Linked DNA regions of Saccharomyces cerevisiae S288C. The protein of the gene in region 3 interacts with the protein of the main gene of each other region in a pairwise test. Each region holds a gene or a part of one and is shown on either strand. Other genes may lie near its edges.

Region 1 (8,251 bases), on a different chromosome or scaffold from region 3:
TCTTCGGTACTGGTGTCAATGGTGCTTACTACGATGTTTGTTCCGATATCGAAAAGCTACAAGGAAAACTATCTGATGACATTCCACCATCTGCTCCAATGGCCATCAACTGTGAATACGGTTCCTTCGATAATGAACATGTCGTTTTGCCAAGAACTAAATACGATATCACCATTGATGAAGAATCTCCAAGACCAGGCCAACAAACCTTTGAAAAAATGTCTTCTGGTTACTACTTAGGTGAAATTTTGCGTTTGGCCTTGATGGACATGTACAAACAAGGTTTCATCTTCAAGAACCAAGACTTGTCTAAGTTCGACAAGCCTTTCGTCATGGACACTTCTTACCCAGCCAGAATCGAGGAAGATCCATTCGAGAACCTAGAAGATACCGATGACTTGTTCCAAAATGAGTTCGGTATCAACACTACTGTTCAAGAACGTAAATTGATCAGACGTTTATCTGAATTGATTGGTGCTAGAGCTGCTAGATTGTCCGTTTGTGGTATTGCTGCTATCTGTCAAAAGAGAGGTTACAAGACCGGTCACATCGCTGCAGACGGTTCCGTTTACAACAGATACCCAGGTTTCAAAGAAAAGGCTGCCAATGCTTTGAAGGACATTTACGGCTGGACTCAAACCTCACTAGACGACTACCCAATCAAGATTGTTCCTGCTGAAGATGGTTCCGGTGCTGGTGCCGCTGTTATTGCTGCTTTGGCCCAAAAAAGAATTGCTGAAGGTAAGTCCGTTGGTATCATCGGTGCTTAAACTTAATTTGTAAATTAAGTTTGAACAACAAGAAGGTGCCCTTTTTCTACTTATGTGAACATGTTTTCTATGATCTTTTTTTTTCTTACTTTTACAACTGTGATATTGTATAAACTTTGTTAGAAATTCACGGGATTTATTCGTGACGATAAATATTTATATAGACAAAGAATATGACGATTTATGAAATCTACATGATTTTAGTTTCTTTTAACAATTGCTCGTTTTTTTCTCTTGCTTAATTTTAAATTTTTTTGGTAGTAAAAGATGCTTATATAAGGATTTCGTATTTATTGTTCAAGTATTTAAAGACTAGATGTCTTTATTCTTCATAAAATTGCACGCCAATTTTAACCCTCTCTACACTTCCTCTAGATAGCTTGCGTACTTTCTTTTGTAGCGTGATAATTCTGGAACGAACGGAAGCACTTGTTTTAAGATCGTCCTTACTAATTCTCACAACCACTTCATACCCGCGATTTTTACGCGTGGATTCTTCTTTTACCTTTGTAGTGTTTGCATCATCAATGATTAATTCTTTTAAACTGGTCTCCACCTCACTACGCTTAGAAACATGGAAATCAAATACGTTATCTCTGATATTACCACCTGGATGAACACCGCAAATCACATACATAATCGTACCAATATACTTCGTCCACCATACAATTCTCAATGCTTCAGCTTTATCACCTTCGCGTAGAACTACTTGTTCTAATTCTTGGGAGTATTTTTCTTCAGATTCCGGAATGTTGCCGCCCCATCTACTACATAGAGCAATTCCTATCAGCGCTCTAGCTCTGTGAGATAATCCATGACAGCCGGCTATTATCCCTCTTGTAGCAACATGTAATGCAGCTGTTGGTTGTAACTCCTTTGGATAAGAGGCATGAACAAATGCTAAGTTACATAAAGCAGGAGCAATCCTTTCGTTTACTATTTCTGGTATATCTTCTTGTGGGATTGATGTTCTCAATAGATATAGATATTTTTCAGTAAGTAATGGAGCATAAGGACGGGACGCAATTAGCAATGGATCTTGTGCACGAATTTCTTTTGGAAGAAGAGAATAAAGTGAACCCTCTCGAACACCACCCTCACTAAAATGTACAGCTTTGATCTGGGGAATCGCTTCAAAAACAGCACTCATGAACAAACCAACGGCAGGAAGTTGTAAAGCCCTTCTATCAGAAACCTTAAATATTTTATGCTCTTTTGAAGAACCTGGTATTTTTTGTTTTAGGAATAGATAATCTGACATAGACGAGAATTCTTCATAAGTGCAAGCATATCCGTTAATTATTGTTTGGATGGGATAACCTTCCGACTGGTAAAGAAGCAGATGTCCCATACCTCTTAAACCACCCCCACGGGTCCAAAGGTCAAATCCACCTTCTTTCTTGGCGTCATCAATCATTTCTTGAGGTATACCAATTTTTTCAATCGCATCTTTGTACGCTTCTTTAATCTCATAAAAAAGTGCCCTATTATCATCTGTTCTCATTCTTCTCAAAAGAGTTCCAGCTCCATATGGCAAAGATACAGGTTTGCTGGATTGCTTGACTTCTCCGTGCGAGCTTATTACCCATGATAACTGAGTACTACCACCTGCCACATCTAGATATAGACCTCTTACTGTATTAAATGAGGAAACAACACCATATATGCCGACCCTAGTTTCATCTTCCTGGCCTAATATTTCTACTTTCCAGCCAGTGCTACCGTAAACAGCATTAACAAATTCATCCGCGTTAATAGCATCTCGCGTGGCTTCTGTTGCAATTACTCTGACACTAGTTTCAGGTACACCAAAATCATCGCAAATTAATTTGAATCTCTTCATGGCAGAACAAACCTCTTTTATAATATCTCTGGGAATAGGGCATTTTGCGTTCGTATGTGTATTATATTGAACTTCGTATAGAGAAAGACCAACCCTATCTTTAAAAACACAAGGCATAATTCTTGCATGATGTGCAGCCTTGGAAGATATACTAAAACGAATACCATTAGAACCTATGTCGACGATTCCACACAAGTTTCTCGACACGACCTCAGTCTCGGTATCACTATCGCTAAGTGTTGACATTTGTGGCACGCCTACACTTTTCGTTCAAAACAATCCTTAGTAAAGGACACTTCCAAGAGTGAGTTTCTTTTTTAAAAGGTACATATGAATGAATTACTAATCTCACTTCGATTCTTTCAATTGATCTAGGAACTCCGCCGGCAAAGTTATCCTATCTCGGCATTCTGACCCGGATCGCTTATCGCGGTCATGTGACTAATAATTGAAATGATAAATAGCACGATATGTAACAATAGTAATATATCAATTGACAATGTCATCTTGTTCCCTAATAAATAGTAAAGGTTCCAATTGTTTCACCACTGGCTGCATTTTAAAAACAAAGCATTATAAGTAAACTCTCACACATGCTAACTTCTGTTGGGAAGCAATACAAATAACAGAAAGGATTGGGGTAATGAATATCAGTAATGTCTATTGTTCCCGGCCATGCCGCTCATTCAAACTCTATATCGGAACCCAAGAAATCCAGATCACCATTCGGATCACTTATTGAGCTCGCCGCTGTATTACTAGAATAACTATCGGATGATTCAAGATCAATAGGAATTATTTCAGGGCAGTTTTCGGGGCCTGATTTTAGGACTTGTTCACCCGCTTCCATAGACGACATCTGTTGCGATAGATTATAAATTTTTGAAGGAAGTGTATGAACTGTCGCAATATCTGTATTTTCTTCTTGCCACTGCTTTGGTTTACTATTCAGTCTTTTTTCCAGGTGAGGGGTTGTGTTGATATTTTTTGCAAGCAGTGGCTGGCGTATTTGATCAGGTTTTGATACTGGCTTGATTGAGGAGGGTCCTTTTTCTTTTATATACTTTACTGGAATACCCTCTTTACAACATAAATGTCTGCATTGCGTTTTGTCTTTGCAGCTATGAAAACACTCGTAATTGCCATTAGATCTTACTTGGCGGCCATTACTAAAATGTGAAGAAGAGTGTGCCTCCGGGTGAATAACTGCTGCAGATTCAACCGCCTTTGATGATTTCTTCCTTTCATTCAAATAATCTAGTATACTATCATCTGAGGATAGCGATTCTTCTAATCCATCTTTATGGGAAACCCTAGACGTTTTCCCCACTTCTCCGTCACTACTGCTTTCATAGAAGAGGCATTTTTCTAAACTATTTAGATCTTTCCTTATATTTGGTGTCTTCGCAGAGAACTGTGATGCCAAATGATCAGTGGAATATACGATTGTTTTGCCGAGTCCGGCGATTTCTTGGCAATGAATTGAGAATTCTATTTTTTCTAGTTTTGGTGATATTTTTGCTGAAATTCTAAAGCCCCTTGGTGACTGTAGTTTGTTAACTTGCAATCTTCTAAAGTCGATTAACTCTCCTGAGCTTTTCTCGGTTTCGATATCTAATGAGAGGTGCTGACCATGCCAAATGCTAGACTTGAATGTTGCACTAATCTCAACTTTAAATGTCAACCACAACTCTTCATTTTCTATTTTGCAATTTTCTAGTTTTGTTCTAATATTCAGACAAGGCAACAAAGAAATGTCGTTTTTAATTTTTATGCCGTTTCCAATCTTGAGGTTAAGATAGTATTCAATCTGAGTATCTGACAAATGCCCCATTTCTTCTAGATTGGTAATTCCATGTCGTATTAGCCTTCTTACTGAAACTAGTCCAATTGTTTTCAATTGCCTAAGAACCATTGGCGTGTTTTCCCAGCAGTGACCATTCAGGCTTCGCAGTAAGAACAAAGTATTTTTCAGTGATGTTCCATCACTTTTTTCAATAAATGTGTCTACCATGCATTTTAGTAATCTAAAACAATGTCTAAAAACGAGGAATTTATCCTGAACAAGAGTTTGATGTAGTTTAGAAGCGCCTTCGTATGATGGAAATTCTAACCCACCTAACTCATATTGAATCAAAAGAGAAACCTTTTGACTAACCCTGTCAATTATTTGGCTCTGTTTCTTCTCGGTTAAAAATGGATATTTCAAAAGTGGCGATAAATTGATTTCTTTGAACAATTTTTTTTCATTGTGCCTCACCCTCATAACTGAAAACTCTTCAGAAGTGGCCAGTAAATTTAGTATCCCTTGTAATGATAGAAATTTTTTTGCGTTAATGAATTGTTTCATCGACTCAAAGGATATATAATGTCGCGTCATTGCATTTCCGTACGCTGTAGATTTGTACTCCCCATTGCTGATATCGATTATTTTCACTTTTACTAAGGTGTCAAGCAAATACTGACAGAATTGATTTATCTGAGAGTCTTCAACGGAATGAAAACTAACGTATCTGTTCACCTCTTGATATGCAGCTGGATTCTTCCCAAATCTAACGTAAAAGAATGTGTTTCGTAGCCAATTTACTGCAGTTTCAATTGAATATACAGTTTCCAAAGAGGTTTCTGCTGCTAAATGCTCGATCAAATTCAAATGTAATGAACTTTCCAAAACGTCAGTTCCATGAATTAAGTTTTCATATGTTTGCTTCATTTTAGAGTCTGTCATGATTACTGCGCACCCGTGAGTTTCAAATTGAGGTCTTCCTGCCCGCCCAATCATTTGCAGTACATCTAGGTCTGAATACTCTTGGATTTCAGAAGAGTTCCAACTTTTGGTGCCTTTGATAATGACCAAATATGCGGGAAGGTTCACACCAACAGCTAACGTTGAAGTTGAACACAATATATTAATTGAACCTGCAAGAAATTCTTTCTCAACGGCAGTACGGTCTTCTAAAGAAATTCCAGCATGATGGAAAGCGATACCTTGTTGCATACATTCATTTAATATTTTATCGGAGGGATTATGATTACATCTTTTCTTACTTTTTGAAAAAATATGATTATTTAATAAAAATTTTGCTGTTGATATAGTTGAAGCCCTAGTCGGACAAAATATTAGTACGGGACGATTATCGGCATGCTTTTCAATTATTTCAATCAATTTGGAATTATATATAGCATCTTTTTGGAAGTCATTTTTGCAATTGAAGGAGTACCCATAAACAAACTTCGTTAACTGAACTTGCCTGTACGATTCGTCAAAAGAAAGAATATTTGCAGGAAGCTCGTTGTTAGTTTTGAGCCACAATGCTAGGTCTTCTATATTTGGAACTGTTGCACTTAAAGCAACAAACCGAATGTTTTGACACATTGTATTCATCCTTGTCAGAATTACTTCCAAAGATGCTCCTCTTTTCTCCTTTATGGTATGAATCTCATCAACTAGGACAAGTTTGACCAATTCGAATAATCGGCTGTAATCGGACCATCTTCTTGTTAACAAATCCCATTTTTCTGGTGTCGTAATTATTATGTTACATTTTTTAGCCTTTTCAGTTTCCAGAAAAGAGGTATCACTAGTAAGCATACCAACAGAAAGATTCACAAAGGAAGGAAACCAGTTCTTGTACATCTCGTAACATAGAGATTTGGTTGGCGCGATGTATATAATTTTGGTGTTATTGGTATCACTATTTGTTTCCTTTATAAGACGTAATATTGCCAATTCAAATAATACAGTCTTGCCTGATCCGGTTGGTGAAGAAATTATGCAGTTCTCGTTACTCTCATAAATACTAGGAAAAGCCTCTGATTGCATTTTATTAAATTCTGTAAATTTAAAAACCCCTCTGAATGAATCTGGTAATATGGTCGTGCTCAAACATTTCTTCGCTGATTTCCTTATCGTGACCTTCTTAGGTTTCTTCGCCTCTTCATCAGGTGTCTGCTCTAAATCGTGATCAAATAATTTACTAGTTACTTGTGTATCATCTGCTGTTATTGAAAAATTATCGTCTTTGTCGAAGAATTGCAGACCACGGCCCTCAAATATTTCCTCTGTTTCATTTTCATCATCACAATCATCCAGTAAACTGTTATAAGACAAACCTACTTTAAAACTTGGTTGGCGGCTATTTTTCTTATTTCTTTTAAATGTAGCAGACTGGTCGTTAAAGTCAATATCTATAAGTCCTCTGAAATTCTAGTCCAGAAAAACCACTTTTGGTTGCATTTCCGCTAGATAATAAAAGAAAGAGGTAACAATGTTAGTCAAAATACTGTTGTTGTCCGATATGGTGTAAACTGATAAGGGTGTTGCTAAGCTTCGTTACTACTATTTGGAGAGGGTCTACTTCTTTTTCCTGTACCGAGGCGATCAAACTTTGTTTTCATCCTTACGACGCCTCTTAAGTTGTCAAATCCACCTTGAGGTATCAATCATTTTCAATGAAAGGATTTCTTGATAGATGATACTAATAGTCCCGTTTTGTTTATAATCCGGGGCAAAGTCTAAATACCCGCCGAGCCTGCATCCATTCGTGGTACATGATATGTTAAAACTACAACAAGGCATAAAAAAGGGAAGTATATATGATTAATTATATATACGTAAAGGAAAAGATACGTAGTTAAAGATTGTTTTTGTTGGTATCAATGGAATCAAAGATGAGTGAAGAAGAAGCGCATAAAACAGTGGAGGTGGATGACGTCGGGGTTCAATTGGATGAGGGCGATGAAGAAGACCTTTTGGAGTATGATGATGAACTCGTGGAGGAACAACCATCGGACGCCCGTATACGCAACGTGGCAGAGACTTTAATGAAAAGCGAATTGCCCAAAGTCACCGTGGAATATAAAGATACTACATTTCTGTTGTTCACGTCGGATGATAAGAACGAAAGTAACAACCCCATAATATGTGAAAACGCTGCTCTTTATCAGCGACCCATGGGGGAATTCATGGAATCCATTCGTAAATTTATGGGAAATCGTTTTGGCAGGTTGGCTTTTGCTACGAAGGAGTTGGTTTTACAACTGAAAAGCCTCGATTTGACCTTGTTCGAAGATAATGTCTACAACAACCATATTTCATTCAGCGATGTTTATACTATATTTAAAATCCTGAAGGAAAGATCGGAGTCTAATTTTGAAACTGATATACCGACGCACTTGGCTATTGAATTAAGTACAAGGCCAAGATTTGTCTCTCGGTACAACGCCTTGGTTGAATTAACTGAAAGCTCAGCTACGTTGAAAAACATAAAGCCATTTTCTAACGATGAAACGCATCCCTTAATTGTGGATGACAATGACCAATATACACACCAGAATACTTCAGAAGTCATTGTAATGGACATAGATGATGACGTAGGTGAGGATTCTGAAGACTAAAGTAGCCATGTTTAATCAGCACTGATCGTGGGAAATCCTGATGTCCAACGGTGAGTTTCTGATTTCCCAGTCACGGATTCCTTTTGAGAATCTTCTCCCGCGAATAAATTATTGGCTCTGTGTAATATTTAAGGTCGCCTTCTTTTTCGTTTGTATAGTCAGCAGTTAAGTATTCATTAATTTTGGATGATGCAAAGGTCCATATTCGATTTCTGATAGCCCTTCCCCCTTTTTTGTAGCG
Region 2 (8,298 bases), on a different chromosome or scaffold from region 3:
AAACAAAAGAGGAAGCGCGTCAGGCTGTTCGAGAAGGGGCGGGGGAAGGGGATCAGGTTACAAGACGCTGTACAGGGATCTGTGTGAGAACAAACCGACACCAGAACTTTGGACTTTGCAAGCGCCGGAATTGAATCTGTAGCAATGGCAATGGCAATAGTGATGGCACCAGGTGTAACAGCAAGCCGGCGGTAGCAACGTGCGTAATAAGGACTTCTGCCCCTGAAAAAGTATGCCAAAAGTAGGAGAAAGAAAGACCCCTTTAGCTGTGAAAGAAGAAGGTGCTCCCCGCCCATTGTCTGCATGCGCCCCTGAGCTTGGCGACTCTCGAATACCGTGGAAGATGGTGGAGCACCAGAGTAAAAGGCCGTGCGCACTCTGACAAGGCAGTATTGTTACAGGTTAAAACAGCTAGTGTGTATATGTGTAAGTAAGTATTATTTATGTGTTTTACTTAAATTGGTCATTCATTGCATGGTAGTTCTTTACGCGAATTTCTGCCTGAGGAGAAGGGAGAACCTGACCTACAGGAGAAGGGAGCATAGTTACCTGTCAATACCAGCCTAACTCGGAATCGTCCAACAGCTTCCAGCCGATACTAACGAAATTTTCCAGGGCAACGTTCTCAAGCCTGGGTTCCTCTGCGGCTACTGGCGCCGTTGTCGGTTGTGTACCAGAAGTACGGCGTTCATCAAGCAATGTCTTCATGACTGATGACTCGCGGAGGCCTTGGCCCGACTTTGGCCACATGACGTCGTTTCTGGTCGTGGACGAAAGTCCTCCTGTCAGGGACATTATGGGCTTATTAAGCTCGTGCTCGAAGATCTTGAATGGCTTGATCATTGTCAGCACGCTGGTGATTTGAACTACTTCATTCATCGAGTTTGACAGCTTCATGACCAGGTCCTGCGACTTCTTGGTGTCCTGAGTATTCTGCGTTGTAGTTGCCGTCATCATAATGCTAATGAGTGATGTAGGCATCTGCTTGACCAGTTCAGTGATGTTGTAGACCTCGTGCAGGATAGCAATAGCAAAGGGGGAAATTATCCCCCGGCAAAGGTCTGAAAGGATAGTGCCAGTGTCTTGTTTCAGGCCTAGTAATTTCTTGTAAAAATCTGGATTCCCCTCCGATGGAGGTGCAGCGCTAAGGTTCCCAGCGACTGGAGACGAGCCCATAGCAGATGGGCCCTCTTGCACTGTCGGATTATTAGCGGGTGGGTTCGGTGGTCTATAATTAAAATCAATACTGTTCGTAGGATTCAGTCTTAATATCAACGTCAATACTTGCAAAATTATTGATATCAATGAGCACAGAGAGTCTGCTATTTTCGAACTCAAATCCAATGTCAAATCTGAATAGACTCCTGCTTCTGAATCGTATAATGATAATAAGCAATTGATGAAATTGTGTTTGCCAATTAATAGCTTGCAAAATAACTGTGCTACGGATAGAGGTTGAGTTTCCACATATTCCGATAAGAGTGAAGACGAGTTCGTAATATCGAACCCAGGCTTCCTATTGCCGTTCATTGATATTCTATTCCTGGTAAGCTCACTCATCAATTCACCCAATTTCAAGCTTTGCAAGACGCTTTTCAGTCTCAATTGGCTTTGTTCCAGGCACCATTTTGAGCCCAAATCATTAGAAAAAAATCTTTCTGTAGAACCTTGGATGGAAATGTTTAATAGCTTGGGACCACCGAATGCACAGCTTTGTAAAGAATCAAACACTGAAAGCAAAACGTATAATCTTTTAAACAACACTGAATAGTGACTAATGTTTTCGTCCATGGAATTTGGTGAATTGGATGGATTCATATGCCCAGCACTTTCAGATCCAATTTCAAATTCGGACGTTTTTGTATTCCCATTACCAGTGCTGACCTCTTCATCAACTGGAGGCTTCACATCATTTATATCCGGCTCCGGAAATAATAGAAGTTTGTATAATTTAAATTCGTTAAAAATTGTCACCGACATTCCAAGTACAAATGAGTTATCGTATCCAACAAATGCCAAAATGTAATTTAAAAGAATAAAAGTAGATAAATAAATGACTTTGATCTTCGGCGAAATTTGGTCGTTGTTTTCTCTGAATTTGGGATGAATATCCACGATTTTTTGGAAACATTCATTGAGGGCGGCAATAAAAACGCTTTGCACTTCCAAAGTATCCTGTACTTCATTATGTGAATCACGTCTTGTTTTTTCAGCATCATCCCTTGCCGTGGCTGTAGTGAACCCAGCTTTGTTGTTGTCATTACTTGGCGACAAAGCCACGCCAACAATATTATCGAAAAACTTGCCACCTGGCTTTTGTTTCAGAGCAACACGAACTAACAATTCCAATGAATTTCTAAACCACAAAATAACATATGAATTGACTTCGTGTATATTGGAAATTGGCTGTGTGTTAACTAACAATAAGTCACTGGTCAAGGTCGTTTTGTTTAAAGGTATGATCGGAAATCCTACATGTATGAACTCATAGTAGGTGTCTATTAGATCTACATCGGATATCTGTCCATACGCGATAGTTGATGAAGTGGTCATTGGGTGAGCAGAATCTTTCGATGTTATAGATATAGATGAATCTCTCTTTGGTTTTGTCTTCTTAGATACGTAACTTTTTCTGCGTTTTTTTGTACTTCTCTGTGGCGTTGATCCAGGGCTGGATGCTTCCAAAGCCGCTGGTGTAGTTACAGATTCTTGGGAATGTTGAGATGTATCCTTAGAAGAACCGCTATTATTGCTGCCATTATTGTTGTTAATTTCACCATTATTATTCTCATTACCATTCAGCCTGTCCGTGGATAATGTTACTGATACGGGGGCTGATTGTCGCCTTTTATTTCCATCCAACTCAGATGAAAATTGCGGTACCTGCTGTCCTTGAGGTCTTTGTGTTTGCTGTGCAACATTTACGGGGTTTGTAGATGTGCTAGTAAACATGGCAGGTGCACTGGGAGACATAGCCTCGCTGGCGACTGATCCTTGTCTAGAATGAAAACCATTAGCAGCGAACTGGCCAAAAGATGATATCGATGGGTTGTACGGTTGCTGCTGGGAAAATTGAGAATACGAGTATAGGTTCTGTCCTTGTTGCAACTTTTGTTGGTGTGCTTGTGGCTGCGATTGTTGCTGAGGTGGGGGAAGCTGAGGCTGGCCACCTAGTAAAAGAGAATTTGAAGTATTTCGTAGCAAAGAAGGTATGGAACTTGATCTTCTTGTCTGTTCCCCATTATGATCATCAGTAGGAGCTAGTAAACCAGAAGTTCTTATAAAGGACCAATAACCACCACTACCAGAGGCACTGCCTGAGCCGGTGACACTTCCGTTTGCATTTCCAGAATCATTAGTATGTTTATTCGTTATGGGAGACTGTTGAACGGTGTTATAAGACAACTGCTCGTTGGGATTTAATGTTCTTACCGATATATCACTTTGCAAAGAATCGATAGATCCTTTTCTTTGGTGTTGAAACTCATGGTAGGGCACTTTCCAAAACTGCTGTTGGCCAATATTACCCGCGGGCATAGTTGATTGTATCGCTGGATTTTGGAAACTAGGAGGAATGCCACCAGCCTGGGGAATGTACTGTGTCAGTGGGGGCAATAAAACTGAATTAGATCTCGAAGGGGTACTTGGAACTGTGTTACTGTTTATACCGTTGTCGCCGCTATTGCCCGTATTATTATTCAGGGTATTGTTACTATTATCAAACGTATTATACGACCTTGAGTTATTGTGGTCTTGTATTTCGTTAGTCCTTGGATGGCTGGTGCTCCTCGTATAGCCTTTCGAGGGTCCCCTTTTCAAAGGAACCCTATCAAAACTACAACGGTCTCCATTCCTTTGGCAGTTTGAGCAGACCCCCTTTTCATCTTTGTAGTCACATTTAATCTTCTTTTTACGACACTGATCGCAGGCCCGGGAGGCCTTTGTTCTTTTCTTTATTGCGTGACTTGCTGCTGCTGCGGAGTCCATATCGTCGGGACTATTGGATGTACCACCGTTCTTGGTGGAGTCACTGGAGTTAGTCGAAACAGTGTTCAGCTCGTTCATAATTTGAAATATATTGGAGTTTGAGAGAAGAGTACAGCTTCTTGACAAATGTGAGAATCGAAGAAGCGTGTTATTATTGCACCAATGAAAATTGCGGGAACGGTTCTGCACAATATAGTACAAGGGAGAGGCGATTTCCAACGAAGTCTATGGTGAAAGAGCAGAATATGTTGGATGGACAATACTCCAGTCTCAAAACTCCAAGCACGGTTCCTAACTGATGTGTTCTTATTTTGACTTTTTTTATTTTTTGAATTTTTACTAGTTGCTACTATTTTTTTTTCCTGTTTTTCCTTAAAAGGTCCCTTCCCATAATCGTCTTGCTTAGTTAGCTACATGAAAAAAAAGGAAAAAACTAAAGGAAAATGCACAAAGCAGCGACATATTTTATGAATCCAATACCTGCCATTTCAAGAAGCTCGGATTATTGGTGAGGTGACGTAGCTTTTGTTTGATGTACTGTTGATTATTCGTCTCTGGTGCTCATAAGCCACGTCACAGAAAACGATAAACGATGTTAGCGCACATGCTACATGACTTGCCAATCGTGGTAAAGCTTCTGATGAAAGAACCAACTTGCGGAAGCGTGCCCATAAAATGGTCGTGCGGCTTAACGAGCAATCACACCGAATAAAGTGATCCCGTAAAATGATATTCTACTCGGATGATCCGTTCCCTAGGAAGCGTAAGACAAGTAACTACAAATGTTGTCGCATGTATATTCTATTACTCAGAGCGTTTGACAAAAAAATCTTCTCCCTTTCATTAAAAACGAATCGAAGAGCTGGGTTTATAGCATTGTCACTAAGGACGTGGTCTCATCATAAACAAATAGAATATACATGTTATGTTACATAGGAAAGACCGAAAAAGCCAGAGAAAGCTAATAAGGTTAGCACTGATGCAGCGCGCAACCTTACGTTATCTGGCTTCGTTGTTCATCCTTGAACAAAGGGAATTCCTCACTTCTGGTCTTCCTGCGTCTCTTCTCATAAACAAGTACACATGAAAAGTCTATGGACCAATTTTCTCTTCCATTTTATAGTCGATGAACAGAAACTTTTCGCTTGTTTCGGTTTGATATAAATCATCTTATCACCGAAAAAAAAAAAACTCCAGCGAGCGGCTAAATAAATACAAAACGAAAAAGTTAGGTCTAGAGTATAGCATAGCTTTGGTGACTACAGTTATAAACAGGTAAAAGCACGCACAAATAAATGAAAAGAAACGTGCAACGCATTTATTTATTTATTTATTTATATTCATATTTATATTCATATTCATATTCACATCGCATTGAACAGAAGTGCATATGGTTCATAATTTCTTTCTTTTCGCTTGTAAACATTTCGTGACTGCCCTCGAAGAAACTATTTGTCTCATCACCTAATCAAATCTGCTGGAGGTAGCGTTATTTTGTTGGAGAGGGAGACACTGGCCCGTGGCCTTGGCTATGGTTATTTACATTATCGTGTCCTTCTTCATCATCAGTAAAATTCAAATTGAGGTCATCCTCGTCTATGCCACGCTCACCAGTGATGATACTTGCGTCATCTTGATCGTCAAACGATTGCAAATCGCCCAAGTCAAAGTCCGCGACATTTTCTGGGTCTGTGGGTAGTTGTTGGGATGCGGCTAGCATGTATGAAGTATCTGTTGGTCTCCATAAGAACGCGATGGTAACGAAAACAATGAAATACACTAACGTAGGCCAGAAATCAGTAACGAAGAACCTTGACCTCCAGTTCTTCTCAATCATATCAATAGTGTTCATGCCAACGTAAATAAATGACGAAACTATACTACCAGCTAGTACACTCAAAAAGGACGCATAAATGATGTATAGTAGCTTCTTGTACATGTTCAATTTTACGATCTGCCTTTGCTCTTTCAAATAGATAACTGTTTTTGTCATGGATCTAATAATCATGTAGTAAAATATGATTAATGCAAGCGCCATAGGAATCAAGGTGATCAAGATTAGTGGAGATGGTGCCTCCATGTCGGTCAAATAACTTTGGATCAAAAATCCAATGCAAATTGCATAAGTTAACGCACCATACATTTGGCAACGCCTCATCAACGTTTTATTCAACTTAGGGTACACGATACCGTAGCCCAAAGCGATAATCAATAATAGGAAAAATGAAAATGTAACTTTACCAGCCGTCAATATCGACAAGAACACCATATAAACTTTTATTCCCGCAGTATCACCTTTTTCATTTTTCAAATCATAGTAAGCCCATACAAATATGGTTTCTGCGGTTAAAAATACAAAAAAGGCCAGCAAATACTTTTGTAATGGTAACAATTCATGCTTGTGCTTCCAGAAGGCGAAGGAATATAACGCCATCGCCACAACGTATGCGACCGCCAAAAGACCATATAGTGGCAATTTGTTGATCTCGGTGCCCGCAAGCTGACCATAAGCATTCCTGAAATTCACCACAGCGTTGAACTTGGTAGACGTCGATGATCTGAACGCAGTAACACAATAAAATCCGGTTTCTTTTATTGGGTATCTAGTATCATGAAGGCCGACCTCATTTTGAGAAAACGTCATGATTGGATTGGCCAAAGATCTATTTGTGGAAGTATATGGATCATATACAACATCTTGAACAATAAACTCATCACGATTCTCCTCTTCACAAATCCCGATATCAATTGCATAATCATCACAAATATAATACATTTCTTCATCCGGCAATTGCACACCTAAGTGCTCAAAGTCTTGGAAATCATAGATTGCAACGACTAAGCCTGGATCAGACTCATCACTCAATCCACTTATTTTTTTAAGATTGAATGATATAAACGGGTCTATTTTGCCCTTCCAATCTTCTTTGGAATACATACCTGCGCATACTTGATAATTCTTTTGACTTATCTTTTCCTTGTTAGCTTTTACGAACACTAGAAGGTAGCATAAGAAGCAGGTGAATAATTGGAAAGGTCGGCAAAACTGATATACTCTCATTGTGCCCTTACACTCTTAGTTTCTGTAAATTTACTGCCTTTTTACCAGCTGTTTCTTGAAATTACCGAGAAAATATTCTATTTCAATTTTTAACCTGCAAAACCTGAACAGAATAGTTGATCCTCTTGACTATTAGTTTGAGGCTAAGTTTTTTTTTCCACTCTCCCTATTCCTACTCCTATATATATCTTGCTCTATCTTTTTCTTCAAGTTCGTTTTTTCACACACTATTTAAAAGACCAAGCTTATGTGTGACGTGCACGGGTGCAATATCTAAATCGGGCAAAACAACTAAGCAGTAATTAAAGTACCACACTCTAGCCGAAAAGAGGTATACATGAAGGTTGAAGATTCGGAAGCAATTCCCAAATTATGTTCAACATTACGGATATTACAATGTTCAATGCGCATAATACACCATAGAAGAAAATTGGCACTACGTATATACTGTCCATTGTTCTTTTAAACACAAAATTGAAACGTCTGCGGTCTCTTGAGGATAAAACAATGTACATTGAGTATAGTAACATGCTAAGCGTTAGCTTGTATCATCAAGACCGTCAAAGCAGGCATTTCATCAAATCTATAGGACCACTTAGCGGAGTCCTGGTGATTGTAGAAATAGCCTTCTAACGTATCAAGTGATAAATAATTTAAGTTTTCCGAATTTCAGTGATCTACTTACAATATTGCTTATTAATCATTATAAAAAGAAGCGTATTTAGCGGACTAATTAGAATACATAAGGCATTCTCAGCGTAATCTAAGCAAAAAAGCAAGAAATTGACTAACAATGTTCAAATCAGTGGCTAAATTGGGGAAGTCTCCGATTTTTTACTTAAATTCTCAGAGATTAATTCATATTAAGACTTTAACAACTCCAAATGAAAATGCTTTAAAATTTCTCTCCACAGATGGCGAGATGCTACAGACGCGTGGCTCCAAGAGTATAGTTATTAAGAACACTGATGAAAACCTCATCAACCATTCCAAGTTAGCACAGCAAATTTTTTTGCAGTGTCCAGGAGTGGAGTCTTTAATGATAGGTGATGATTTTCTCACTATTAATAAAGACAGAATGGTCCATTGGAATAGTATCAAGCCTGAAATTATAGATTTGTTAACCAAGCAACTTGCTTACGGTGAAGATGTTATATCCAAAGAATTCCATGCTGTCCAAGAAGAAGAAGGAGAAGGTGGCTACAAAATAAATATGCCCAAATTTGAACTTACCGAAGAAGATGAAGAGG
Region 3 (7,431 bases):
TCTCATTATCAATCTTTAAAGAAGCTAGTAAATCGGCCGGATCTCTCTTTGTATCACTCATTCCGATCTAAGGTGGTAAGTATTTTTATAGATGTTCTTGGTTGCTGATCGAGTATTTTATGGTGTATAAAGGTCAACTGGTTTTAAAGGTAATGCAAATTTTGCAATGCTTTGCTTGATTGAAAAATTTGCATACGGGTAATACCGCGTTGATAATAATGTAACAATCAAATAATCAAGACAACAGCAGAGTTATTCTTTAAATACGATATATATGGGAGTATCATCATATTTAAATGTTGATTTTTTTGGGTTTTTTTTTTGGGCAATTTTAGAGCAGTAGGCTTAAAATATATTAAAATTATTAAAGGTATTACTTAATCTTAAAGGTCGTCGAAATCTATAATAGTACGTGTATCAAACACTTTTGTAATTAATATTAATGTCGTTAAGTGGTTAAATAGTGGGGTATTTCGTTTTTGCGTTGTTGTAAAAATTTACTAGGACATTCCATCAGGCTTCCAATCTAACCCCAACCTTTGATAAACCTGTGTTTGGCATTGAAACCAGATGGCAGCCCTCTCCTCTGAAGTTAGAGAAACCTTATTAACGACATTTTTCTGTGTACCAGCACCTAATGTCTTAGCATCATTTTTATAATTTTTTAGTTGCAAATTTTTCATTAAAGCCTTTTTTAAAAGACTACCAGAGTTAGTGCAGTCATGTATTTTAAAACCATGCGGTATGAGGCTTGGAGGCGGCATGTCAGGCCTTTTCAAATTTGAATTTAGTAATTTCCATCTCTTGTATTCGGAGCGCTTTTGTTTAAAGTCATATCTGCATTGGGCCTCGACGGCAACATTTAATAAATAGTTCTCAATTATATTTCTCCATTCAGGCTTTGATAGACGCATAATGGGTTCCTTTGACCCAGTCATTTCTTCATGTCTTTTTCTTGCTGATGCAACTGTATATTTTGCGCTTGTCAACTTAAAATTGCGGTCTAGATTTGCTTCTATGTATAAGTCTGAGTTAACCAATGTCGCTATTATAAACTCATCACTGGAACTTAGGGGAAGTAATTGTAGTCTGAATTGCGGTAAGTTTATACCGGAGGTCACTACCGTCGGTAACTGGGAACCCCATTCTGGCCTTAATTGTTCCACAATTAACAAGGATCGTATATCGTTTAGATCCCAGTCCAGCAATTCGCGCTTTGTAAACTTAGGACGTCCGTTATAAAGTATATTTGCTGGATCAGACATCAGAACTTCGGGAGAATACATATCATAGAATGTTTTGGGTAAAGCGTCTTCAAGTGTTACTTCTGTGACGAACTTAGGTGTTTTTGTATCAATTAACGAGCTGCCTGTGGTGATGTCCGTAAGAGCAGTAGATGGCTGTGAAAATATACTCGATTCGTATGAAGATGAATGGTCTGAAACAAAACTTTGACTGTCCGGGGTATTTATGTGTTGGATATTTGCATTTTCTGCAGTATTACTGTTCACTTCCATAGGTTTAGTTCCTGCAGTAGGCAATAACCTTTTTATGATTTCTATTCTTGCCCTGTCTGCATATTCTGGTGGTGTAGTAACAAAATTGTTGTTGCTCCTAACATTTCCTGAATTGGAACTCAAATTATAGTGATTTGGTGTGTTTATTTCTTGGTTATTATGTGGAAGATTGCTGTTGAATCCAATAGAAGGAACGCTATTTGTCATTTCTGTGTCAGCGTTGGGTTGAACATTCTTTGGATTTTCGTCATGTCTTTTCGATTTTCTTTTCCCTAATACTTGGTTCCTCGCTGTTGCTGGAGGTGGTGAAACAAACATCTCGTTTTATTTGTCTGTTAAGTAGTGCAAAACCTCCTACAATCGCGATGGTAACGAAAATGATAGGTAAATGAGAGCTTCTAATATATTAAACTGGTTTCCTACGGTACGATATTTCTTGAAGCCTTTCTTCTCCTCTATTTAGTTCGAAAACGTCCCTCTCTCGTTAACTCAAAAGAAAATTTACTAAACTATAACTCTGTCTTTTAATAACTCCTGGAATTTTTCCGTTATGGAACTAAGAGCAGCCTTCGCTAAAAGATTTTCCGTGTTTTCAAAAGGAAGGGAAAAAATTGGACAAAAACCCGCGTACGAAAATTTTCCTGCTTAGCTCAGTCGGATTTATTGAAAACTTTATTTCATTTTTCCACAACATCCCACATTACCCGATTGTTTGTTGCAAGATTTTTTGAAGAGGACGCTTGCATATTGGCCAAGGAGGAAGTGTAAGATGTGCTTTCGTGACTTGAGCGAAGGGGTTGGCGTTGTATAGCATGAACTTCCCAATATGTTGCATTCATCCCTGGATGATAACAGACCAAAGACCAAATTTGATTTTAAGTTTAGGAACTTAGAAAAAAAAGGTAGTGCCGTATTCGAAACTTTCGCCGTGGACTGCCTCTCTTTTCAAAAAAGAAGAACAGACCATGCTTTTTCTCCTGGATCTGGAAGAAAAAATACACGAAGCGTATAAATCAAAATAGAGTTCGGTCTATTGGCTTACAAGGATTTCGCTATTTTACAAGAGGACGTATATTCATATATTCATGCTTCAGCATGATTTTCTCTTAACTTAATATGTTCCATTTTTTGTTATAAAATATTACTGTTCGTCGTTTGTAAGAGCAGACACTATTATCTTAAAAGAGCTTTTTTTTAATTGTATGAAGATTTTATAAATTTGCGAAAACCTAAATTTACCATAAAATAAAATGCGCACGAGTAGTTCTAACGCCTATTTGCTCTTGAATTGTCATACCGACTTTGCTTGTTATTCCGAGAGTAGCTGTTGCCGCTGTACTGTCCACTATTTCTATTTCCGGAATAGTTATTGTTCCTGTAATTTGAATTTTGTCTGTAATTATTGTTTCCACCATCATACCTGCTATTGTTGAAGCCGGGTTGACTGTTGTAGCTATTCCTACCATAGTTGTGGGCGGGTTGGACATTATTTCTACTGAGCTCAGCAAAATAAAAGAATGCTCGATAGCCACCAGTTCTTGGTTTGTACTGAGTAATACCCTTTGGTCCTACTGGAACAATATTTTGCTTCAAATCATTACCAAAGTTCCAGCGACGGGAGTAATTTTGGTTATTATACTTGTACATTATGGAATCAAGGTCATATGCTGTTAGTACCGGTTCTGACGGAATGAACCCGTTCAGTATAATAGACTTATTTCTCGATGGCAACGGAATTAATCTATAGGACATCTTTAAAATCAAGGTGGTAGATAAATTTGGCAGTGACCCACCTTGAATCGGACATACAATTTTCCCATTTAATTCGAAACCTTCAACGTCCTTTGATACAATACCACTTAAACCACTCTTGAAGTGTTGAAACTTCACAACAACATTGTTGTTGTTGTTTTCCTTTGAGTATAATTTCTTCGAAAACCTCTCATAATTAGCATTCTTGTTACTTATTAATAAAACAGGTTCTCCGCGAATATTTCTTGCCCTCTCAGCATCAGAAAGTAAAGGATATTGTGCACGAACAGCTGTTAACAGTCTATCCTGATCGATGAATGGTAGCAACGCTATGCCTTGCCAGGACATCTTCTTACCATTCATATCTATGGGAAATTCTTCAGGATAAAAATCAATGATTTCAGAGTCAGGTTCAGACATCAAAGACCGGAAAATTTTTGGCAAAGCATGGCCAGATGCAGCTGGTAAAACACTCATCAATTGTTCGTAAGGTAAAAATGGAGTACCTTCTTCGAACTTTATCTCCAAGTGAGAAAACCCATGGAAATCTGTTGCCAGAGGAGCATAATGGTACGGATAGAACCAATTCCAAGAGGCACAACCTTGATAGTAATACATTAGTACCCAGGCGACCCCTTCGATATAGCATTTTACCATATCTTTTCTTAACTGTTCAATATCTTGAGGAGTAACGTGAAATTTAGCTGTGTAATATCTTTCGTGGTAACCAGGTTCGAATAGTTTGACAAATTCATCTGTATCAAAGACCCCATTTTTGGGACCTTCGCTGACATTCACTGTGCTGTGGACTGGTGAATCTCTTGATACTTCTGTAGTTTCAGAGTTTTCCCTGTCGTTTACGTCAGCCACAATCTCATCTTTGATCTCTGCATCGAGATCGCACTCTGATTCCGCTTTCTCTGTCTTAACTTTTTTGCTATCCTTAGCAATTTCTTCCTCTTCATTATCCTTTTCAAGACGGTGTTTCTTATTTATTATTTTCTGTTTCATAACTTCTGCAAGGTTAAAATTAGTTTTGTTAGCCTTACTAACAGCATCATCAATTTCTTCCTTGCTGATATCTTTCATCAGTTCATTGTTCTTATCACTCTGTTGCTTAACTTTGGCGATTGCTTCTTCGTTCCCCTCGTTCGCAAGCATCAGTTCCTTTTTCAACCTTACCATATCACTGGTGGTCAAGTTCCATGAACCTTTTGCTAAATTTCCTTGTGTGTCATACATTTGCAGTTGCTCCGTAGCTACTGTAGGATGCCTGTCTTGACCTTTTGACATATTTTTCTGCGCTTTCCTTCTTTCAAAAGCTTCTTTCTTTCTGGCTTCTTGAATATGTCTAGTTTTGAAGATATCCCCCTCACGGGAGCCAAGGTGTTGCAATAGCGTTTCAACAGAAGGGAGGTTCAAGACACCGTCGCAGGTCATGTACGTTTTCAATTTCGGTAGTACTACCTTCCAAATATCCAAGAGAATATCAATACTATTTTCTCTGACATCTAAGCATGGTAAATGTGGTAAAAAGTCATTACCACAGAAAAAGCACATGAAAACCCAATCGTCGATAGCCCTTTCTAAATCAAATGTAAATGGAAGACCCGGAACCCATAACTCAGCGGACAAGTATTCCCTCAAAACATTTATGTGCAGCCACAAGAAAGGTTGTTCGGAATTTTGTTTTTGGAGAAATTGTTTTTCTTCTTCAGTCATATTTATAGTATCTTTTAAGTTATTTCTTTTCCGATTGTCTTGAGCAAAAACATCTTCTCTTAGAATTTTAAAATGTGGTTCATGAGTGGCAAGGCCCAAAAAAATTAAATCAGCATCCAAACCGTATATACAGTGCGTTGTGTTGGGATTATATTCAGGATCAGCTCTTTGAGACCTAATGAAATTCATTATTTTGTGCTCACCTTCACCTGGGACGGTGGCGTCACTGATAATCACCTGCAGGTTTTTCCAACCAGGGTCAGTGGCCAGTTTAAATGCTGTCCAATAACGGAGGGCCGCGGCAAGCTTATCCATAAATGGGGTGCCTGGAGTGATCGCATTTGAATCCCAAGTTTTCTTGTTCCTGACGGCATCATCGATTATCTCACCAACTTCTTCTCGCTGTCTCATAATTTCTTCCCTGGCTTCGTTTTCAATCTGAGCATCCCTAGCACTCCTAAATCTACGCGCTCTCTGCTGGTTCATTTTGGCACGAGGAGCAACACCATCAACAGCCATAACAAGTACCTTGCGTGGTCTAGCCATATTTAACACACGATTGGTATATTCAAAAACTGCCAAAAGCATTTCATCTTCAGTCTCTGGAGGCGGTTTGTTTTCTGGGTGCGAACATGGATGAACAATACCATTCATATCCAAATACAAGTTGTCTAACTCACCGTTTGGATTTGAGGCGGAATAATCCAACGGCAATATGACACCGTCGACTATCTGAGGTTGCTCTTCCAATACTGGGGATATGATCTTTGGATATTTTCGAGATAGCCATCTGAAAAATGACGGAACACCCATTATATTACGAAACTTGGCTGTAGCACTTCCTTGAAGAACCTGTCTCACTAATTATTACGGGATGTCTTTATGTTGTAATAGGTTCATCGATGAGGTTTGGTTTTTTATTGCCATAGCTGAAAATCTTATCTAGATACTCTCGTTACCCGACTTATCATTCCCGAGACGCTCAAATATACAACCTGATGAGAAAGTAAGGTAATATACCTCCAAATGTTCAAGATTATAAAATACATTGCAGTGCCTTAAAAACGTACTTCCGATATTATGTGATAGTAAACTTTTCGTAGTTTTTCATCAGAGATGGGGAAAGCTTTTTTGGTGAATTGATTTTACAACTACTTGTTTCAGTATACTATAAAAATCGAGTAAAATTCGTGAATCTTTGAATAGAAAAGATTTCGTGAACATATCTATAAATTAATCACTTTCTTAACCGATATAAGATTTTAGCCCGGTGATATAGGCTTCAATCAGCAGTTACGCTTTTTTGCTTTAATTTTACTGTTTATGGAGGTAAACTAACGCTCCTGCTCTCTTTCATATATCAACAGATAGGTCTGTTGATTGATTCAAATAAATTTATTTTCCTTATGTGCGCCATAATTATATGACCCTATAAGCTGCCGATAGCGGATTTTCTGTTCTCTATGGGAAACTCTGTAGTTTTCTTTTTTTTAGTTTAGTTCGTTCCCAAAAATGGAAGAACGTCAAAACAGTGATCTACATTAAGCTGAGGCGAAAACACTAAACGAGGAAAGTTATACGATGGCACAGGAACAAAATAGAAAGTATGTATGACGTTGAAGGCTGATTAAAGCATTGAAAGGGGAAAAATACTTGTGAACTAAAAAATGTACATATTACGATGTCGAAATATAAGGAAGTAAAAATGCTGTCCGGTTCTTTTGAATAGGAGAAAAAATAAACAGAACATAGTCGGGAACTTCGAGAAAAAAAGTAAGAATTGAAAAATGCATATGAACGATCAGATTGACATTCAAATTCTACGTATCACTAAAGTTTAGCCTTCTTTTTAGAGGAAAACAAGTTAGCTATTTTGGACATGAATTGTTTGAAGGTGCTAATCGGGTATTTCATGCTTGCTTGGAATTCCTCCTTTTCAATATCAAATTGTTTTGAATCCGAAGTATCTAAGATATCTTCAACATCGTCAGTATGTGGTAAAGTTTCAGGATCAACATGGCCCGGTGTGATTGGAATCGAGGTGCTTCTACCTTTAAACGCAAATCCAGGGTGGAAGATGGTCAAAGTGACCGTAGCGATGGCCATCATTAATGCATCTAAGATAATAAAATACCACTCGTGTGTGATCAGATAGCCATCCCAACCGACAACTAATTCAGCCAAACGGTAACAACAACGGGTAAAAATGGTTAGTACCGCAACGGTTATTGCCAGATTAAAATAATGAAAAACCCAACGTTTAGGTTCGAGTCTCAAAAAATGGAACTTTTCCCTGTATAAATAATCAACTTCTGTTTGCGATATCTTTAAGAGGCTCAATGAGATAGGTCTAGAATTTATGTGTTCCCATCTTACCGATATATATATACGGAAAAGGAAGTGAAACCATAACATAAGAAAGATGGCCATCGATGCAACT
Region 4 (9,043 bases), on a different chromosome or scaffold from region 3:
TTATTATGGTGTGCCGTTTCAAGGACATGTGGGCGCTGCTAAAGCGGGAATAGACGCATTGGCAAAGAATTTAGCGGTTGAGTTGGGGCCTCTGGGTATACGTTCGAATTGCATTGCTCCAGGTGCTATCGATAATACGGAAGGCTTGAAGAGATTAGCCGGCAAAAAATATAAGGAAAAGGCCTTGGCAAAGATACCATTACAAAGGCTTGGATCTACACGGGATATAGCCGAATCTACTGTTTATATTTTTTCACCCGCCGCATCGTATGTCACCGGTACCGTCTTAGTTGTTGACGGTGGTATGTGGCATTTAGGGACCTATTTTGGACATGAGTTGTATCCAGAAGCCTTAATAAAGAGTATGACATCTAAATTATAATACGTATAGGTATTGAGTACTATTATTATATGACACTTTCTCGTATGCTTTTTGATAGTTAATTGTATATTGATGAATTTTATATACAATGAGTGCACTATCGTTGTTAAACTTCTTACAACCATGACCGTTGTGCTAGCTTTTTATTCTTCTTTCCAACAAGGAAAAACTCAAGTACTTGCATTCATTTGGTCAACGCTTTTTTTAAATGCTAACTGATCACCAGAATAATGGGGGTCATTTTCAAAGTGTTCAATCTCAGAATGTAATCTTTTGACGTTTTTAATGTCAATATCTTCTAAATGATTCGAAGCAAATCCATCTGTTGACATATTTACAGAAATGTCATTCCCCCCTTCAATGCTATTTTCAAAGCTAGAATGATCGGGTTGGTTTTCTTCCCCGGTTTCTAGCATATCCTGGATGAAAGGGATATCAGTAGCTTTTCTCAAGACATCACCATATGTTTGAACTAAGTATTTGTTTAAAATGGTAAAGTTTGTCCTATTGTTGTTCACGTTCGTTTTGACGTCATTACCGTTGCCATCATAAGAACCATTGGTTTTTTCCTTTCTGTTATGGCCATCACTTTGATAAGCTCTACATTCTGTTATAATAATGCGGAAAAAATCTTGAATGCATGAATTTGCAAGATTATTCTTATCTATGTTCTCCTGGAAGAGTTTAAAAACCGGCGCATATAAATTTTTTGAAATCATATATCGATGATAGTATTTATCATCGAGACACATAAGGTTTTTAATGCATCTTACTGCTGTTAACCTTAGCTGCATCATATGATTACCGCCGATAAGTTTGCTAACAGAATCTAGTATACCGTTTTCTAATATGAATCTTCTGGATAAGACACGATCATGCTCAGTGCAAACAAATGATACCAATTTCACTAAATGAATTAACAAAAGATCGTCTTTTGTAACCTTTTCTATTTGCCCATCTATTTCTGCCATTTCCGTTGTGATATCCTTCTTGATTAATGGACCAAACAGTATGGGTGCGATTTTATTATAGAAATTTGCAAAATATTCCATTACTTGAAATTCAGATTCAGATTCTGGCTCTAGATTATTCATTTCATCGCTGCTATAGTGATAGTTATTTAAATTGATTGAATCCGAGTTTAAACCATAACTGAAACTTGGGAAATCTTCAGATGTGTTCTTAGCTTCATAATTTGATCTGCCCATAAGATCATATGAACCTTCTCCATTACCCACACATCCTTCAGGGTGAAGCAAAGTATTTAGCGCTTGCACAACTTGTTCTCGCAATCCGGGACTCCTGTCGGACAGAAGAATGGTTGAAAGTATCAATAACAACTTGGAATCAGTACTGGAGCTGTAATCCTGCGGATATTTCCGATGGGAAGACTTGTCATCGGGCGCTGATTTATGTTGCCGTTTGAAAGAATCTTCATTCTGAACGTTGTGAATTAACAAGATATCGTGTTCGATTATAGTAATGATAGTATCCGTAGCTAAAATCCTAACATTACTATCCGTCTCCATGTGAAATGCATAATCTAAAACTTTGAATAGACCCTTTCGAACAAGTGTTTTATAGAACTTAGAACGGTCAACCGCATCTAAATTGATTGACATTTGAACACACTGTTGCAACAATCTAATCCCGTCTTTTCGTTTTTGTACAAACTTCTCCTTCTCTGAAGAGCTTTCTGGAAGGGTTTTGGTATCATAAAGCTCTATTAGTCTGTCCAAAAACGTCCCTACTTGAAGAAAGTCGATTATACACGTTTCCAGGTCCATGACAATTTCCGAGATTAAGTTGAAATTATGATCGTCTAAAAATCGTACTAATACCACGTCTTTTAAGAACTGTAAGCGAAAACATTTTTTCATTATTATTTTTAAGTCCTCATTTTCCAATGGAATAACCTCTTTGAAATTGGGACCTTTTGATCCTAAATATTTCCTATGATTTGCCTTTGATGTAGGGTATTCAGTATCGTATTCTAAAATCCCAACTATTCCCATAATCCTATCGTCCTCCACCATTGACTCCAATATGTCTCTTTTATTGTAAAGTATCAAAGTTTTGATGATGTTACTTAGCAAAAATAAATCCTTCGGTATCTTTTCTTCTTCTGCTTTGTGGAAATGAGAAATCAGTGTATCAATGTAATTTGACTGGAGGATAAACTCAATGGTTTCGTTTTTCAAAAAATCGAAAGAAGTATTTTCATTCAAAATCTTTAGAGCTTCTAGTAAAGTTTGACTATTCTGTTGCTGGTCGTTGGAGGGCAAGGTCACAGGGCCCGTTATAATGTCGTGAACAGACCCGAGTCCGTTGTCGCTGGATTTTACGGTGACTAAAGAAATATTTGACTCTATGTTCCTTTGGACGTGAACAATGAATTCACATAAGGTGTCACATCCCATACTTTCTTCAAAACTCAAGGCTATATCTTTCCCCCCTAAATCCTTCCAAACAATAAGCGTTTCCTCCTGCCGTTGATATTCAATATTTCCTTCTAGTTTGGATTTTAGTAAAGTTTCAGTTGGGGAGTCTTCATCTGAGACAACAAGATATGCGAACTTACCTTCGTCCACCTCCCCTATACAAAACCCTGTACCTGTGTCTTTCCATTCGTTGTTCTCTAAAATGTAAACCTTTACTCTTTTGGGTTCAGTATTAACCGAAACGGCTTGTTCAGTATCCTCATCCATCGGGGTCGGAGATGTAGTAGGTGTACCCGGTAATGACATTACTCTTACTATACGTAAATCCTAAACTTTTCAGTTAGAATTTCTGTTTCAAACACAGACCAAAAAAAATACTGTTTTCTACCGGTTTAATATGGAATAAATGAGTTTCGATGAATTATAGTACCAGTTCAGTACACTCTTCTTTATTTTTTTTTTTTTCAGTATGCGCGGGTTTTGAAAGCACTAGGTCTTTTAGATTTTACGTCAAAGGAGGCCGAGAAAATATTGTTAACTATGCCACTGATGCAAGCAATCTCTATTGTGCAATTCTAGTTATATCTACCTTGCAATTGCCCTTTAGAAAGTATTGGTCTTCTTTCTTTTGTTTCTTCTTCGGATGAAACACCAAAGGAAAAAAAAAAAAGACAGATAGAAAAAGAAAAGATGGCGCGTCAGAAAAAGAAACGACGGTTTTATCATCTTAAAAGAGAATCATGATGGCTATTTGTTCACAAAATAAGGGATTATATAAAAATTATGTATGGTAGTGGCATTATAGATTTGGGCTATCAGAGTTTCAATATTTGGTCTGTGGATTCATATCCAAATGGCTCAAAGCCGAATTTATTGGCGAAATCTCGAGGAATGAATCTTCCCCCCACGTAATGAGTTGTTTGATTCTCCCTTATGTGAGAGCTGCATGGCTTGGGGACAGTCAGAGATACAAGAACAGCAGGATTAATTGAGGGCTGAGAGATCGGACCTTTGTCAACGTCCCAACCTGTGGGGACGTCCACCGAAACAATCGGGATAATGTTTTGCACTTTGCACAGTTCTTCGACAATGCCCTTGAATGGCTCTCTCATGGGAGGCTTGAAACTAAAACCAAATATTGCATCTACAATGCATAAGGTCTTTTCCGGCTTCAAATATTCCAGCCAGTTTCCCTCATCTTGAGACAGGACAGGAACTTTGAAAAAATTCAATTGGTGAACCAGCTGTTTGTAGAATTCAGTGCGCTCGCTTCTCTTGGGGTAGAAAACAACAGGGTTGTAACCAAAAAGCTTCAAATGTCTTGCGCACACGAGACCATCCCCGCCATTGTTACCTGGCCCAGCAATAACAAATACATGTTTGCCCTTTTCCGTTTCTGTCTTGCCTCTCAGTGGAAACTGGCGACATACAGCCTGCGCGACACTAAACCCAGCTAACTCCATTAGCTGTTGTAGAGTGAATCCGATTTGAGGACCCATCAATTCTTTGTCGATTTCAGCTGCAAGCTTTGATGAAACAACTTTCAACGTAGACATTTTTACCTTACAATGATTTCTCTTTAATACCTGAGATTGGTGTGTTGAAATGAAAATATGTGTTGGCCCAGCAACAGACAATAATATAAGCAAGGATCCTGGTCGTTTGATATTCTTCTTGAGTTTTTTTCTTATATATGAACGTATGTGTATATATTCACCATCCCTATTGTCTCCACCCCTTGTTCGCTCGTAGCGACGGAAACAATCAAATAAGAGGACCCACGGTAAAAGTAGCGTAAATTTTACGGTTCTGCTGCAAAATAAAGAAACCCATTTTGTATCCTTTACATCAGGAATAACGTAAAAAGAATTATCATTAGTTCGTAGTTATATAATAACGTCTGTTCATTATAAAAGAGTACAAGAAACAGTAAGATAGTAAACGTCACTGTTAAATAGTTAATTATACCGCCAATCTACACCAGAAAATTAAAAGAGAAAGCAATATATGTTAAACATTATTATCGTGTCATCTTTGTAAATCCCTTAACATACTTCTAACACAACCCATGTCTTCAATTAACATTTTCCTTAACCACTGCGTCTCTTGGCGCTGTAATTCCAATTCTCTTTCTAATTGCACAATTCTTTGGCCTTTTTCAGAAATGATTGCGTCATAAGCTTCTTTCAATGGGCGTATCACGGCTTCTGTATCTATAGGTCCCATGCTGTTTGAAGGATTTAAATCAACTTTCATTTGGGTGTTATTCGCGTTTAAATTAGTGTCCGGACCATCATTTATTAACGCACCCTCTGCTGCAGTTGTCATCGGCCTCTGCCTCTTACTCGTATTTGTCAGTTGCAAAAGTTCTTCCACCGCTTCGTCATCCAGCGTATTAACATCTAACGATCCCAGTGACCTTCGTTTCCACGAATGGGATCCATTATTGGACATTGTATTATAGCCCATGGTATTACTGGAAGCATTGGGGTTCAGATCTGCATGACTCAAACCAAATTCAAATCCTCCTGAGCCAGGACTGGTTGGCTGTGTATAATATCCTGTCAACGAACGAGAATTGACATCTTGTGATAGCGTTTGCAGTCGTTTTTGTAACTGTTGAGACAATGATGGATCAAAAAGCATATTGGTACCTGGGTTGCTTATTGTTGTATTACTGAATGCACTCGTATCTGTAATGCCGTTTCTCTCTTTATTACTATTTTTATTGTTTTTCCCATTTTTAGCATTTTTAGCCACCCTGGTGCCTCTTTTTTTCGTTCGGTTGTTTGGCATGTTTTTATTTCCATAGTTCTTAATATTACTCCCATTTCCAATATTACCATTGTTCCCATTATTGTTCCCGTTGTTTATTCCCTGTAAATCTGATGGGGAGCCTTTAGTTGATGTATTTAAGGAGTTTCCCTTCCTGCGTCCTTGAGTTAGAATTTGGCCGGTCTGAGGATCGAATACTGTAAATATGCTCATTGAGACTAATCGCCACAATTCATCGTTTTCTAATTCTGAGTCTGTCTTTATTTGCCAAAGCCTTCCATCCAACCGGCGGAAGTATTTTGCGTAAGGACTTGCGTCAAAACTCAGCTCTAGTTCCTTAATCATCTGTTGAAATCTTTGATATAGTTCGATTGCCGATTTTGGTGATGTTGATCTATCGTCAATTGACCCAGATGATAGTGTAGCGTTATATAGTTTTGATATTTTGGCGAAAAGTTGAGAATATTGCGCTTGCGTATATATTCCATTTGAGGTGGCACTAGAGCTCGCATTATTACCAGTAGTGGCAGGATTGCTTGCATTGCTAATGGCTGAGGTAGAACTTGAATTACCATTCGGCGTACCATTAGCGCTATCTGAGTTGGTTTTCGTCAGAGCATTACTACCAGTGCTAGTTATAATCTCATCGATGTTAGGTGTGCTATCAGACCCCATCAACCCTGTTGGATTAGCTATCCCTGTTCCAACCGCCCCGTTAACCATACCTGAGGGCGTGTTCGTTGTCGTCTGTGGCGAGTTTGTAACACTCTGCAAGGAAGCACCACTAATGACAGACTCGTTAGACAGTAAATTATAAGCTCTGATTATGAATACATCTAACTTAGTTTGGTGATGCATTATGTGAGTGTAACTTTTCGTCAAATACTCTTTGTGTTCTCAGGTTCCTTTTTGGTTTCTTGGTTGTTTTCCCATTCAGTCTAGGCGTAAGAATGTGAAGAAAGTCAAATACAGACCGCAAGCACCTTATGGATGCGTTAATGATTATTATGTCTAACGGACAACTATCGCAGAAGTCGCGGTACTTGAAGGAGAAAAGTCGTGAAAATTTTATTTTGGACAAATTGTCCAAGAAAAATAAGAAATATGACGTTATTACCCGTATTGAGATTCCATTGAAAGACATTCATAAAATTGATCAGTTCGGTCATAAACAAAGTAGAACTTCGAAATATCAAATATGTTCTTGCCACTGGTAGCCCATATTTTTTTAATCTGCTCTTGTAGCATAGGGTTGAAAATATTACATTGAAGTCGATACCGATATATACTTCTATAAAAATGAGTTCTGGAATAAAAGTAAGGCTAATACATATATATAGTGGGAGAATATCCAAAGGCAGAGTTTTTTAAACAAGGAAAGAATAAAAGTTGGCAGCATAAAAAAAAGATATTCTCTCTTCAAAACATTTGTCGGATATGACCTCACCTAAGCACTTGGTGCTTTGATGACAATAATCACACTAAAGAGCGATATTCGATAGTGAGACTTTTCCCTCTCAATCTTATTCACATTAGCGCAAGCAAAATGGAATGAATGGCACATTAAAATTGAAAATAAAAGTTCTTGTTGTTGCAGAAGCGGTATAGGAGTTCGCAAAATGGTAGTTAAGAAAAAAGATGGCGGGTTTAATTCATAGTACAATTCAAATGTTAGACAGAAAAAGAAAAAATTTCTGTTATATGCACGTTGTAATGTAATAGTAAAAAGATAATTTAACGTAATTGAAGAGATAAAGTATTATCGATGTTATTCTTATTATTAGTCGGTTTAGAAAATATTATTATAACAAATAATAAAAGAAAAAGAAAAAATGCGACAGAAAATATTATTCTTATTATAGTGGGGGAAAGATGAAAAGCAATGCATATAATGTGATACATGCAAGGAAATCAGGTTTTTGCGGAACCATTTTTTTAGTTTTTTATATGACCAACATTAGAATTGTAACTGGAAAGCATATTTACATTAGGATTTGGGTTACCACTGCCTCCTCTTCTGCTGTTTGGGCCCCTAACACCCAGTGGGTTTTTTGAAAAGCTTAATCTGATACCTCCCTTACTGCTCACAGTGGAGCGAGGTAACTGTCTACCATACAATTCAGCTAACGCTCTGGTTGCAAAACTGACATCATCGAATTCAACGAAGCACATCGGTCCGTGACTATGACCATTAGATGTGGTATTCTTATTCCTGAATGATAGTCTTCTGAAGCCTTCTTGACCAGAAAATAGCTGTCTTAGTTCTTGCTCAGTAGCGTCGGAGGGTAAATTCCCTACATAAAGGGTATTACAAGGTGGATTTTGATCAGCAGGGTTGGCAGGAGGTGGAATTCTGGCTAGTAGTGACAAATCAGCCTGAGAAATCGAGGCAGATCCAGTAATATTTGAGGATAATGAGGTAGTAGAGTTATTCTTGTGTGAATTTCTACTTGAACTTAATCTTGCGGGCGGTACTTTTTGAGGAGTGTTACTTTGATTCACAGGATACATATGCTCTGGTTGGGGTTGTTGCATAAATCTGTTCTGTTTTTGAGGTGTAATGTTCATATCAGAGGTGTTTACCATATTTGAAATGTGCTGCGATTGAGAAGACATTAAACCGTATGGAGGCAATGAATTTGAAGAGGTTAGGGAAGTGTTAATCGTGTTACCAATTTGCATCATTGGTTGTTGCGAGCTGGCAGAGAGTGCCTGGTTAGCACCATTATTGCTGGCTCCATTGTTGGAGCTGGCGTTTGCATTGGCACTGGTGTTGCTATTCGTAGGTGCAATGGCTGTCGATGCTGCAGAGGGTAAAAAGAACGAAGAACCATGTTGGGATGCAGAAGTATTTCCCCATTCTAAAGTTGGCGTAGAAGGTTGGGGAGTGCTCATGTAACCGTTGATGCTGGAAGGTATACCGCTTGTGCCCCATATCTTTTCATTAATTTCAGTGTTATCTCTCAAAAGGAAAGATTTGCCAATATCAGATGTTTGAATTGTTGATTCCACAGACAAATCTTGATGTGAATGGTTAGAATGTAACCCAATAACCTGGCCTTGAGAAGATAACGGTATTGAAGAATTCACTTGTTGTTGATTACATTGTTGTGGTGAATGTTTTTGCGTAGAGTGTTGTTGTGGCTGTTGTGGCTGTTGCTGCTGCTGTTGAGATTGCTGTTGGCTTAAAGGAGAATCATTGGAAAATGGATCGCTGAATGAAAACCTGGATCTTTGTGATAACAGACTTGGCCTTTTCATTCCCGAGTTCGATTTATTCAATCTTGAGGTGTCATTGAAAATGGCAGATGATGGGAATGAAACCAAGTTTTTTGTTGTGTCATCTATTATTTCAACGGTTGTTTTATTGGGAAAACTGGGTCCAAAGAGTTCATTTTTCGAATTCAAAATAACGGCATAATTAATAGCTAGATTCAATAACTCA

What was found.
Region 1: the proteins of STD1 (region 3) and RTG2 interact in a two-hybrid assay, tested with the Saccharomyces cerevisiae proteins (one study listed by BioGRID).
Region 2: the proteins of STD1 (region 3) and RGT1 interact in a two-hybrid assay, tested with the Saccharomyces cerevisiae proteins (4 studies listed by BioGRID).
Region 4: the proteins of STD1 (region 3) and PSY2 interact in a two-hybrid assay, tested with the Saccharomyces cerevisiae proteins (2 studies listed by BioGRID).

What each region holds. Positions count from the first base shown.
Region 1 is NC_001139.9:24,626-32,876, forward strand, and holds RTG2 (Rtg2p), read right to left. Parts: upstream 2,860-8,251; coding exon 1,093-2,859; downstream 1-1,092. Other genes in the region: HXK2 (hexokinase 2), read left to right, coding at 1-770; HFM1 (DNA helicase), read right to left, coding at 3,296-6,801, 6,954-7,011; RMR1 (Rmr1p), read left to right, coding at 7,285-8,010. UniProt on the Saccharomyces cerevisiae protein: Required for a novel path of interorganelle communication between mitochondria, peroxisomes and the nucleus, thereby maintaining a functional metabolic interaction between the tricarboxylic acid and glyoxylate cycles.
Region 2 is NC_001143.9:361,372-369,669, reverse strand, and holds RGT1 (Rgt1p), read right to left. Parts: upstream 4,066-8,298; coding exon 553-4,065; downstream 1-552. Other genes in the region: AIM26 (Aim26p), read right to left, coding at 1-305; PTM1 (Ptm1p), read right to left, coding at 5,477-7,048; NFU1 (Nfu1p), read left to right, coding at 7,842-8,298. UniProt on the Saccharomyces cerevisiae protein: Glucose-responsive transcription factor that regulates expression of several glucose transporter (HXT) genes in response to glucose.
Region 3 is NC_001147.6:415,847-423,277, forward strand, and holds STD1 (Std1p), read right to left. Parts: upstream 1,836-7,431; coding exon 501-1,835; downstream 1-500. Other genes in the region: ATP-dependent RNA helicase DBP5, read right to left, coding at 1-61; ssRNA exonuclease RAT1, read right to left, coding at 2,784-5,804; phospholipid-translocating ATPase RSB1, read right to left, coding at 6,822-7,431.
Region 4 is NC_001146.8:260,075-269,117, forward strand, and holds PSY2 (Psy2p), read right to left. Parts: upstream 3,130-9,043; coding exon 553-3,129; downstream 1-552. Other genes in the region: SPS19 (2,4-dienoyl-CoA reductase (NADPH)), read left to right, coding at 1-382; NNR1 (NADHX epimerase), read right to left, coding at 3,639-4,379; GCR2 (Gcr2p), read right to left, coding at 4,852-6,456; mRNA-binding protein WHI3, read right to left, coding at 7,534-9,043.